Linked DNA regions of Canis lupus familiaris. The protein of the gene in region 2 interacts with the protein of the main gene of each other region in a pairwise test. Links are inferred from orthologs where the notes say so. Each region holds a gene or a part of one and is shown on either strand. Other genes may lie near its edges.

Region 1 (3,643 bases), on a different chromosome or scaffold from region 2:
GTTCTGTGGATTCTTATCCTCTGATTTAAACTAACATATTTAGTCTACTGACCTTGGTTTTAACTGCGTTTAGGGCATCCAGCACTTTCTGCAGTTTTGGATTGGCTTGATCAATCTGGAGATAAAAAAAAAAAATGTGAGTTAGAAATTGTAATAAAGTCAAACTGTGTTTAGCTAATTTTTTTTTTCCGATTAAAAACAGTAACTGAAGGAAGGGAAGACACTTTCTTTCTGCTTTCAGAGAGGGAATTTTGCTTGGTGTAGGTCCTTGCTGGCCCTTGTGCTCTATAAATGAATTGTTCATGATGTGTAACTGCTGTCAACCAAAAAACAAGAAACTGGCTCAAGGGGCAACGCATTTATTGGAGATCAAAGAATCGCAATTCGGGGCACACAGATTGGGGTAGAAACCCAAATAGCATTCCAATTTCAGGACAGAGACTCGGGGTATTTGTGGAAGAAAAGGAAGATCACGTAAGTAGTTTTTGAGAAGGGTTCATGTGTGCTGACCAGCAAGGTGGGATTCGCACTTCACTGATTGGGCAGGTGAAGTGGTCACTATGCAAAAGTTCACTTTTATCAGTTCTGTCGATAGGCTGTTCTCCTTCTTGCTGACTTCTTGGGATGTTGGTGGTTTGGCCCCAGCACAAGGAAAGTGGCAAACAAAAAGCTCGATTTTAATTTAATATGGTCAAGATGTTCAAGGACACACAAGTCAAAATCCCGGAACTTAGCAAAATCCAGGAACTGTGACACCAAACACAACCTCTTACTTTGGGCCTGTTTCATTAGTTATAATCGGTACAGTGTTTGGTGCGTTGTAAGTGATCAATAAAGGTTAACTAGAATCACTATAATTCCAAAAGTTAGCCACCTAAGTGCGATATTTATAATAAGAAACCTGTTTATGACACAGTGCTCCTAGACCCCTTGGAATTTCCTAAGTGATAGTGATAAAGGTATCTTCTGTTATGTTGACTGGGGGGACTTTTGAACTGAATCTAAGGATGAGGGCTGGATGCCAGGAGAACCAACTATGCGATTAGAGGGTTGGAACTTTCAGCTCTACCCTCAGACCTCTGGGGACGGGAGAGGGGACAGAGACTAGAGCTTGAATCAGTTGCCAAAGGCCAATGATTTAATCAGTCGTGGGTAAATAACGAAGTCTCCATAAAAACCCAAAAGGACTGGGTAGAGAGAGTTTCCAGATGGGTGAATTTGGAGAGATACAGGGGAGACAGTGGGCCTGGATAGGGCGAGGATGCTCTTTGCCTCTGCCCATACCTTCCTCTGTGCATCTTTTCCATCTGAGTTATATCCTTGTGTAATTACCAGTAATCTAGTAAGTAAAATGTTTCTCTGAGTTCTGCGAGCTGTGCTAGCAAATTAATTAACCTCTTCCAAGCCAAGGAAGAGGTCATGGGAAACTCTGATTTATAGTCAGTCAAGTCGGAAGCCCCACTAACAATGTGGGCTGCAGACTGACACCGGAGGTGCGCGGGGGAACTTGCAATCTTGTAAGTCTGAACCCTCAACCTGTGGAACCTGAGGCTATCTCTGCATGGACACTGTCAAAATTGAGCTGAATGTCTGGATGCCTGCTGGTGTCCAAGAATTGCTTGCTAGAGGTGTGGGGGATATCTGCACATCGGAATTTGGGGAGCAGAACCCAAAAGACCCAAGTATACCCAATTCAATAATAACTTCCCTATAGAACTTTTCAGGGACTCTCCTAGAGAGGATTTAAGCAACACCAGCCATTTTAAACCTTAACTGAACTTTCTTTATGGGACAATAATCCTCTTAATATTTTTTCCCTAATGATGCATTAAATTGGTAAATTCCTGAGCCTGTGAAATAGGAAGTTTAGAGGAAAAGGAATTTGGAAAATTTGGAGTATAGAAGTTCCCTCTCCCTCCAACACCTTCCCATTCTATCCCTACCTGAAACTTAATTCTCTTAAGAAGGTAGAAGCCAAGAGAAATCAAAGCAGCAAAGTACTAGGGAGCTGTTTGCTCACCTGTAGCCATGAGTAGAATGGAAACATTTTCAAAAAAGAAAGACTCAAATATCTTTTTGCCTTATTTTATACTATTTTGGTGTCTGATTGGTAAGAAATAGTGTTAGCCGATCTCTGTAACTCTCTGTAACTCACCTTCATCAAAACAGCAATAATTGCCAAACCATCAGCCTGTGAGACAGCTTCAGCAAAGCTGGAGTACTTTGAAGAATTCCAGTGAACTATGTGAAGCTAAAAATAATAATGTGGTCAGTTAGTTATTTATACCATTGTGAAGAGAGAACGTTGTAAATTAACTTGTTAATAGATGAAGATGTGTTTGGCTTAGATAACGTTTATGTGAACCTGGGTCCAGCAGATAGGAAGGGTTATGTTCTCACTCTTAAGAAGGGTTATGTACATTGAGTAGAGCAGGCAATTTGCAATTCTATGGAACCAGTGAATAAAATTTATTTTCCCGTAATATCACAACTATTCAGTATTACTTCTTTTTAAAAATTGTTTTGGTATGAAAAGATCAGGAATTCCAACTAACTAGTTTTCAACAGAACTGAAATAACACCTGTCAGGTGAGGTACTTTTTAGTAACTTTATGAGAAGGGGTTCCTGGACAATCTGAGGGTCTTGGCCCAAAACACATTCTCTTAAGCACATCTAGGCACCTCTCGAATCATCATCTCTAGCCTAACCTCTCTATGGAACTCTAGATCTGAATATCCAGTATGTCATCTCGGTATCTTCTTGATATCCCCGCATGGATGTCTAATAGGTATCTCAAACTGAACATGGCCAAAGTACAACTCTTGACTTTTTCCTTGCCAAAACTCTTTAATTTTCCCATTTTTGGAAAAGGGACCACCATCTACCTAATTGCTCAATCAAAAAGTACAACAGCTATCATTGATTTCTTACTTTCCCCACTTATCAACAGCCATCTCTCAGCACATCTCATAGATTATACTTCCTCATTCAATTTATAACTTCAAGTTTTTTTGCATTAGTTGCTGATTTTTTTCTGGAATGTCCTCTGTAATCTGTCAATGGCAGCCTTTTGTCTTGAATTAGGGCTGAACACAAATGCTATTACTGAAAGAATCCTTCTTTGATCTCCTAATGTAAAGAGATCACTTGGTCAATCATATTACTTTACATTAGTTAATTCTCCCCATACCACTTACCTAATTTCTCTTGCTTGCTCTCTTTCTCTCACATTCTTTCTCTCTCTCTTTTCCTTCTCTCTCCTTTTCCTCTCTTTGCCCCAACTCCTGCTCTCCCTCTCATTTTCCCTCCTGGCCTCAGTCACATGTTGAATTTTGTGGCTAAGCACCTCTCATCTCTAGCTTGGATTATTTTATTTTTCTTAAAGTAGATGAGAAGATCATTGACTTAGATTTCTTAGAAATCGGTGTGTCCAAACTTGAACATTTGAGTAGGAAGCAAATGGTATGGTCAGCTCAGAGTCAGAGCTTTAAAGGAAAGCATTAGCCTCCTCTTGAGCCTAGCCTGATGTGGAGATAACAGTTTTTTGAGGCATCCTGAAGAGAGTGATGGTTCTTGGGCTCAGGAGCTCAACTCCAAGTTGCCTTTTTCACACAAAAAAATTTCCTTCTGTTACCAAACTTA
Region 2 (4,229 bases):
GTCGCTGGACTATCTGCATCAAAATCTAAGAACTCGGGGCACCTGGGTGGCTCTGCAGTTTAGGGCTGCCTTCAGCCCAGGGTGTGATCCTGGAGTCCCAGGATCGAGTTCCACTTCAGGCTCCCTGTGTGGAGTCTGCTTCTCCCTCTGCCTGCGTCTCTACCTCTCTCTCTCTGTCTCTTATGAATAAATAAATAAAATCTTTAAAAAAATACAAATTAATGCAAATGATTAAACATGTATCAGAGTCAAGAGAAGAGTGACAAGAGCAAAATGCATAAAAAAGAGGAAGGTGAAAGAAACGAAGAGAATATACTTCAAGTTTTGGCATATTGTGCTCTAGGGAAAACAAAGTTATGTTTGAAAACTCTTATACAATTGATGTAGGAAAAAAAATTCTAAATGTGTAAAAACACAAACCGTGGTACTAATACCAGTGATGACCACTTGGGTATATGACATAGGAAAGCATTTTTAAATGTAAGGTTGGCTGGTACAGAAGGCACATAACAGATGTACACAATGTTTGTTGACAATGTTATCTCTCTCTTTTTTTTTTAAAGACTTCATCCATTTATTAATGAAACACAGAGAGAGAGAGAGGCAGAGACACAGGCAGGGGGAGAAGCAGGCTCCATACAGGGAGTCCGATGCAGGACCTGATCCCGGGACTCCAGGATCAAGCCCTGGGCCAAAGGCAGGTGCTAAACCGCTGAGCCACCCAGGGATTCCCGATGTTAACTATTTTCATACAGTTTCAAGTACAGTTACATTTAATTATCTTCATCCTCCAATAATCTAGAGAAAACCAAACTTTTCGCTGTGTTAGTCTTTACATGAACAGCAGGACAAATTGTCAAATATTATGTCAGCTACTGCTGTACAAGATCAGGATTGGGACATTTACTTTCAGACCAAGCTAATCTCTATTTTTAAGGGCAGACTTATGTAAACAAGGACAGGCAAAACTAGAATTAAATTTCTCAACCCTAATTAGCATCGCATGATAGCACTTAAATTTCCCTGAAAAATCACTATAATACGTATAGAAGGATAGCCTTTATTATTCTGAGTACTGAAGATGAAGTATTAAGTTCTAACTCATTTTACTTCAGTGAGGAAAATCCATTTTGGTTTGACAGGGACAAAGACAAGAAGTTTGCATTACATAACTCTCAAAGGATCTCACTATCAGAATATAAAATTTGTCCACTTTCCCCCTTTAAAAAAAAAAAAAAAAAACCCTTCCCCTATAAATCTGTAAATTCAAACTGTGATGTTCTAAAGTCTCTTGAAAACTCACTTATTGGGGATCCCTGGGTGGCTCAGCGGTTCAGCATCTGCCTTCAGCCCAGGGTGTGATCCTGGAGACCCGGGATCAGTCCCACACATCAGGCTCCCTGCATGGAGCCTGCTTCTCCCTCTGCCTGTGTATCTCATGAATAAATAAATAATATATATATATATTAAAAAAAAAAAGAGGGATCCCTGGAATGGCTCAGCAGTTTGGTGCCTGCCTTCAGCCCAGGGCATGGTCCTGGGGACCCGGGGTCGAGTCCCGCTTCAGGCTCCCTGCATGGAGCCTGCTTCTCCCTCTGCCTCTCTCTCTCTCTCAATCTCTGTGTGTCTCTCATGAATAAACAAATAAAATCTTTAAAAAAAAAAAACTCACTTATTTATCTTCAGCCTGAAAAATGCACTTGGAAACCCAATTATATTCCACCCCACGCTAAGCTGCAGATGTCTCAACAGTCCCAGAATGACTCTTGTACGCCTCATAAATGAAACCAACTCTACTTGGGGAATGAAGCAGCTCACGCACAGCAAATAAATTACATGGGAAGAAGTCATGCTACTTTCGCAGATTTTTATTTGTTATCAACATCTGCCTGGATGCACTATAAAGTCCAGAAGTATCTAAAAGTTATCCGAGACTTTTCCTTTTCCAAGCTTATGTTTCAAAAAGGCAAACAATTCCCAGATTGAATCCGTAGAGCCGGCCAAAGTACCGATGCGTGGACTTGTTCGCCCAAGGAAGGTCTCGCTCTTCCTCCCAACAAGCAGGCAACCGACCTCCATCACTCAGCCCCAGCTCTCCGACTCCCGAACATCCCCGACAGGCCCCACGTCGCCCCCTTCTCGCATCTCTAAGTCTCCCGCGTTGGGCACGACAGACACCCTGTGCACGTTCACCTGTTTTGCTAACCAAGGGCCCTTCTTGCATCTTCCACTGACCCCGCACAGACCTGACGCTGCCCACCACCTCTGGCTTCCTTTCTTTCACAACAGTCCCTATTCAGAGCAACAAAGAAACGAGTCCACGTTCCCTAACCGCGGCTTATTTAACTCTATAAACACCTCCCCCTTTGTCCCCACCCCCCACCCCCTACACACACACACACACACACACACACACACACACACACACACCACCTTCCATTCTCTTTCCTGCTTTTGTTATTTAGAAGAGTGCAAGGGTCTGGATCAAAAAAAAAAAAAAAACAGAAAAGAGAAAAAAAGCAAGCTCACTCACCTCATGCTATAGGCACCAGCACCCAGTTCCTGGCCGATCCCGGACAGACTAGCGTCGAAGTCCTGCACCAGCCCGGATTCAATCACTTCGTCGGCCAGGGGCAGCTTCAGAGCCCAGGCCATGCTGGCTCCTTCCCTGCCCCAGGAGACCCCGCTGCTTCTCGTACAAAGGCGAGCAGTGGGGTTCTACCCCACGGGGCGGGGGGCGCGGGCGCAGGGCTGTCGGGGACTCCCTCCCACCCGAGGTCGCCCACGCAGACCCCTCGGGCCCACCCCAGGCCGGAGCCGCACCGCCCGCACCACTAATCCCAGCTCCCGCCTCCACCCCCAGGCTCCCTCGCACCCAGCCCCCCGCAGCCGCGCGAGGGCCCCTCGGCTCCCCCAGCCCCGGGCCCCCGAGGCAGCCCCGGCCTCCCGCGCTCCCCCTCCCCGGCCTCCCCCGCTGCCCTCCGCACACACCCGCAGCAGCGACCCGCTGCCCGCCCGGCGCGCGCACGCCGCCCCGGCACCTCCCCCCCGCCCCCCGCCAGGCCCCTTCTCCGGGAAGCCCCCTCGCTCCGGGGACCCGCGCCCGCTCGCCCGCTCGCCCGCTCGCTCCCTGTCTCCCCTCCAGGCCTCGCTTCCGGTCAGCCCCGCGCTCACTTCCGGTCAGCCCTCCTCAACCCCAAGGCTCGCAGAACCAAACCCAGGGGTCCGCCAAGCCGACTCCCCGCCCCCTGCAGCAGCCCCCCCGCCCCCCTCGCGGCCTCGGAACATGGAAGGGGAGAGCCCAGCAGCGGCTGGAGACCCAGACTCGCCGGGGTCCCCCCCACCGCCCTCCCCGGCGCCAGCCAATCAGGGCGCCCTCTTCCTCTGCGGGTCCGGAGACCGTGACGTCACCCTGCGGCTCGCCAATGAGGAGGCGAGCCCGTGGGACCGGGCAGTGCTGATTGGCTAGCTGCGCGGGATGGGCGGGGCGGTCCGGGAGAGGGCCCCGCGTGCGGCAGGTGGCTCCAGTTTAAAGGGCCCTGCCTGGGGCTACCTGGCCGCTGCCTCCCGCGGGCTCCCAGTCCGCGCTCTAGGGCGCGGGGGCGGCCTGCGCCCCGGGCCTACCGGACCCGCCCCGGGCCTGGAGGATCGCGGGCCGCCTCCCCGGCGCTCCCTCCCCGTAGGCGCTCCTCTGCGGCTGGAATACTCCCTGCCCTTAAGCCCCCCTCTCCGAAGGTCAAGACTCCGCTTCTGCTCACCTTCCGCGTTCCCCCTAACGCATTTTGGACGGGAAAGCAGGAGATGGCTGAAAGTTGTAGTTTTTAAAAGGTCGTGGTCTGAAGATCAGGATTCGGGCTGGCGGCTTCGCTTAACGGGTCCGGTGACTCTCGAATCATCGTTTACTCTCGTTGAGATGGAGATTCCTCGTTTGCAGAGTGGGGATAACCATACCCGGTCCACCTTCTTCCTTTATTTAAGACCAAATAATAATGTCCATTGTTTATTAAGCATCAACTATATGTCAGGAACTTTATGACATTATTAGTATCCCTCAAGACAAGCGCGTAATTACAATTATAATTCTTTTTTAAGATTTTTTTTAAAAGATCTTATTTCTTTATTCATAAGAGACACACAGAGAGAGGCGGAGAAGCAGGCTGATGTGTGGGACTCAATCCCAGGACTCCTGGATCACGCCCTGAGTGGAAGGCAGATGCTCAACACTGAGC

The links.
Region 1: the proteins of TFCP2 (region 2) and CA1 interact in binary tests that used the Homo sapiens proteins (3 or more experiments, as listed by UniProt). The two-hybrid records come from large-scale screens. The link is inferred for Canis lupus familiaris from reciprocal best matches to the Homo sapiens genes TFCP2 and CA1.

What each region holds. Positions count from the first base shown.
Region 1 is NC_049250.1:32,469,848-32,473,490, forward strand, and holds part of CA1 (carbonic anhydrase 1), read right to left. Parts: intron 2,252-3,643; coding exon 2,156-2,251; intron 116-2,155; coding exon 53-115; intron 1-52. UniProt on the Homo sapiens protein: Catalyzes the reversible hydration of carbon dioxide. Can hydrate cyanamide to urea.
Region 2 is NC_049248.1:42,972,696-42,976,924, forward strand, and holds the start of TFCP2 (alpha-globin transcription factor CP2), read right to left. Parts: upstream 2,944-4,229; 5' UTR 2,656-2,943; coding exon 2,534-2,655; intron 1-2,533.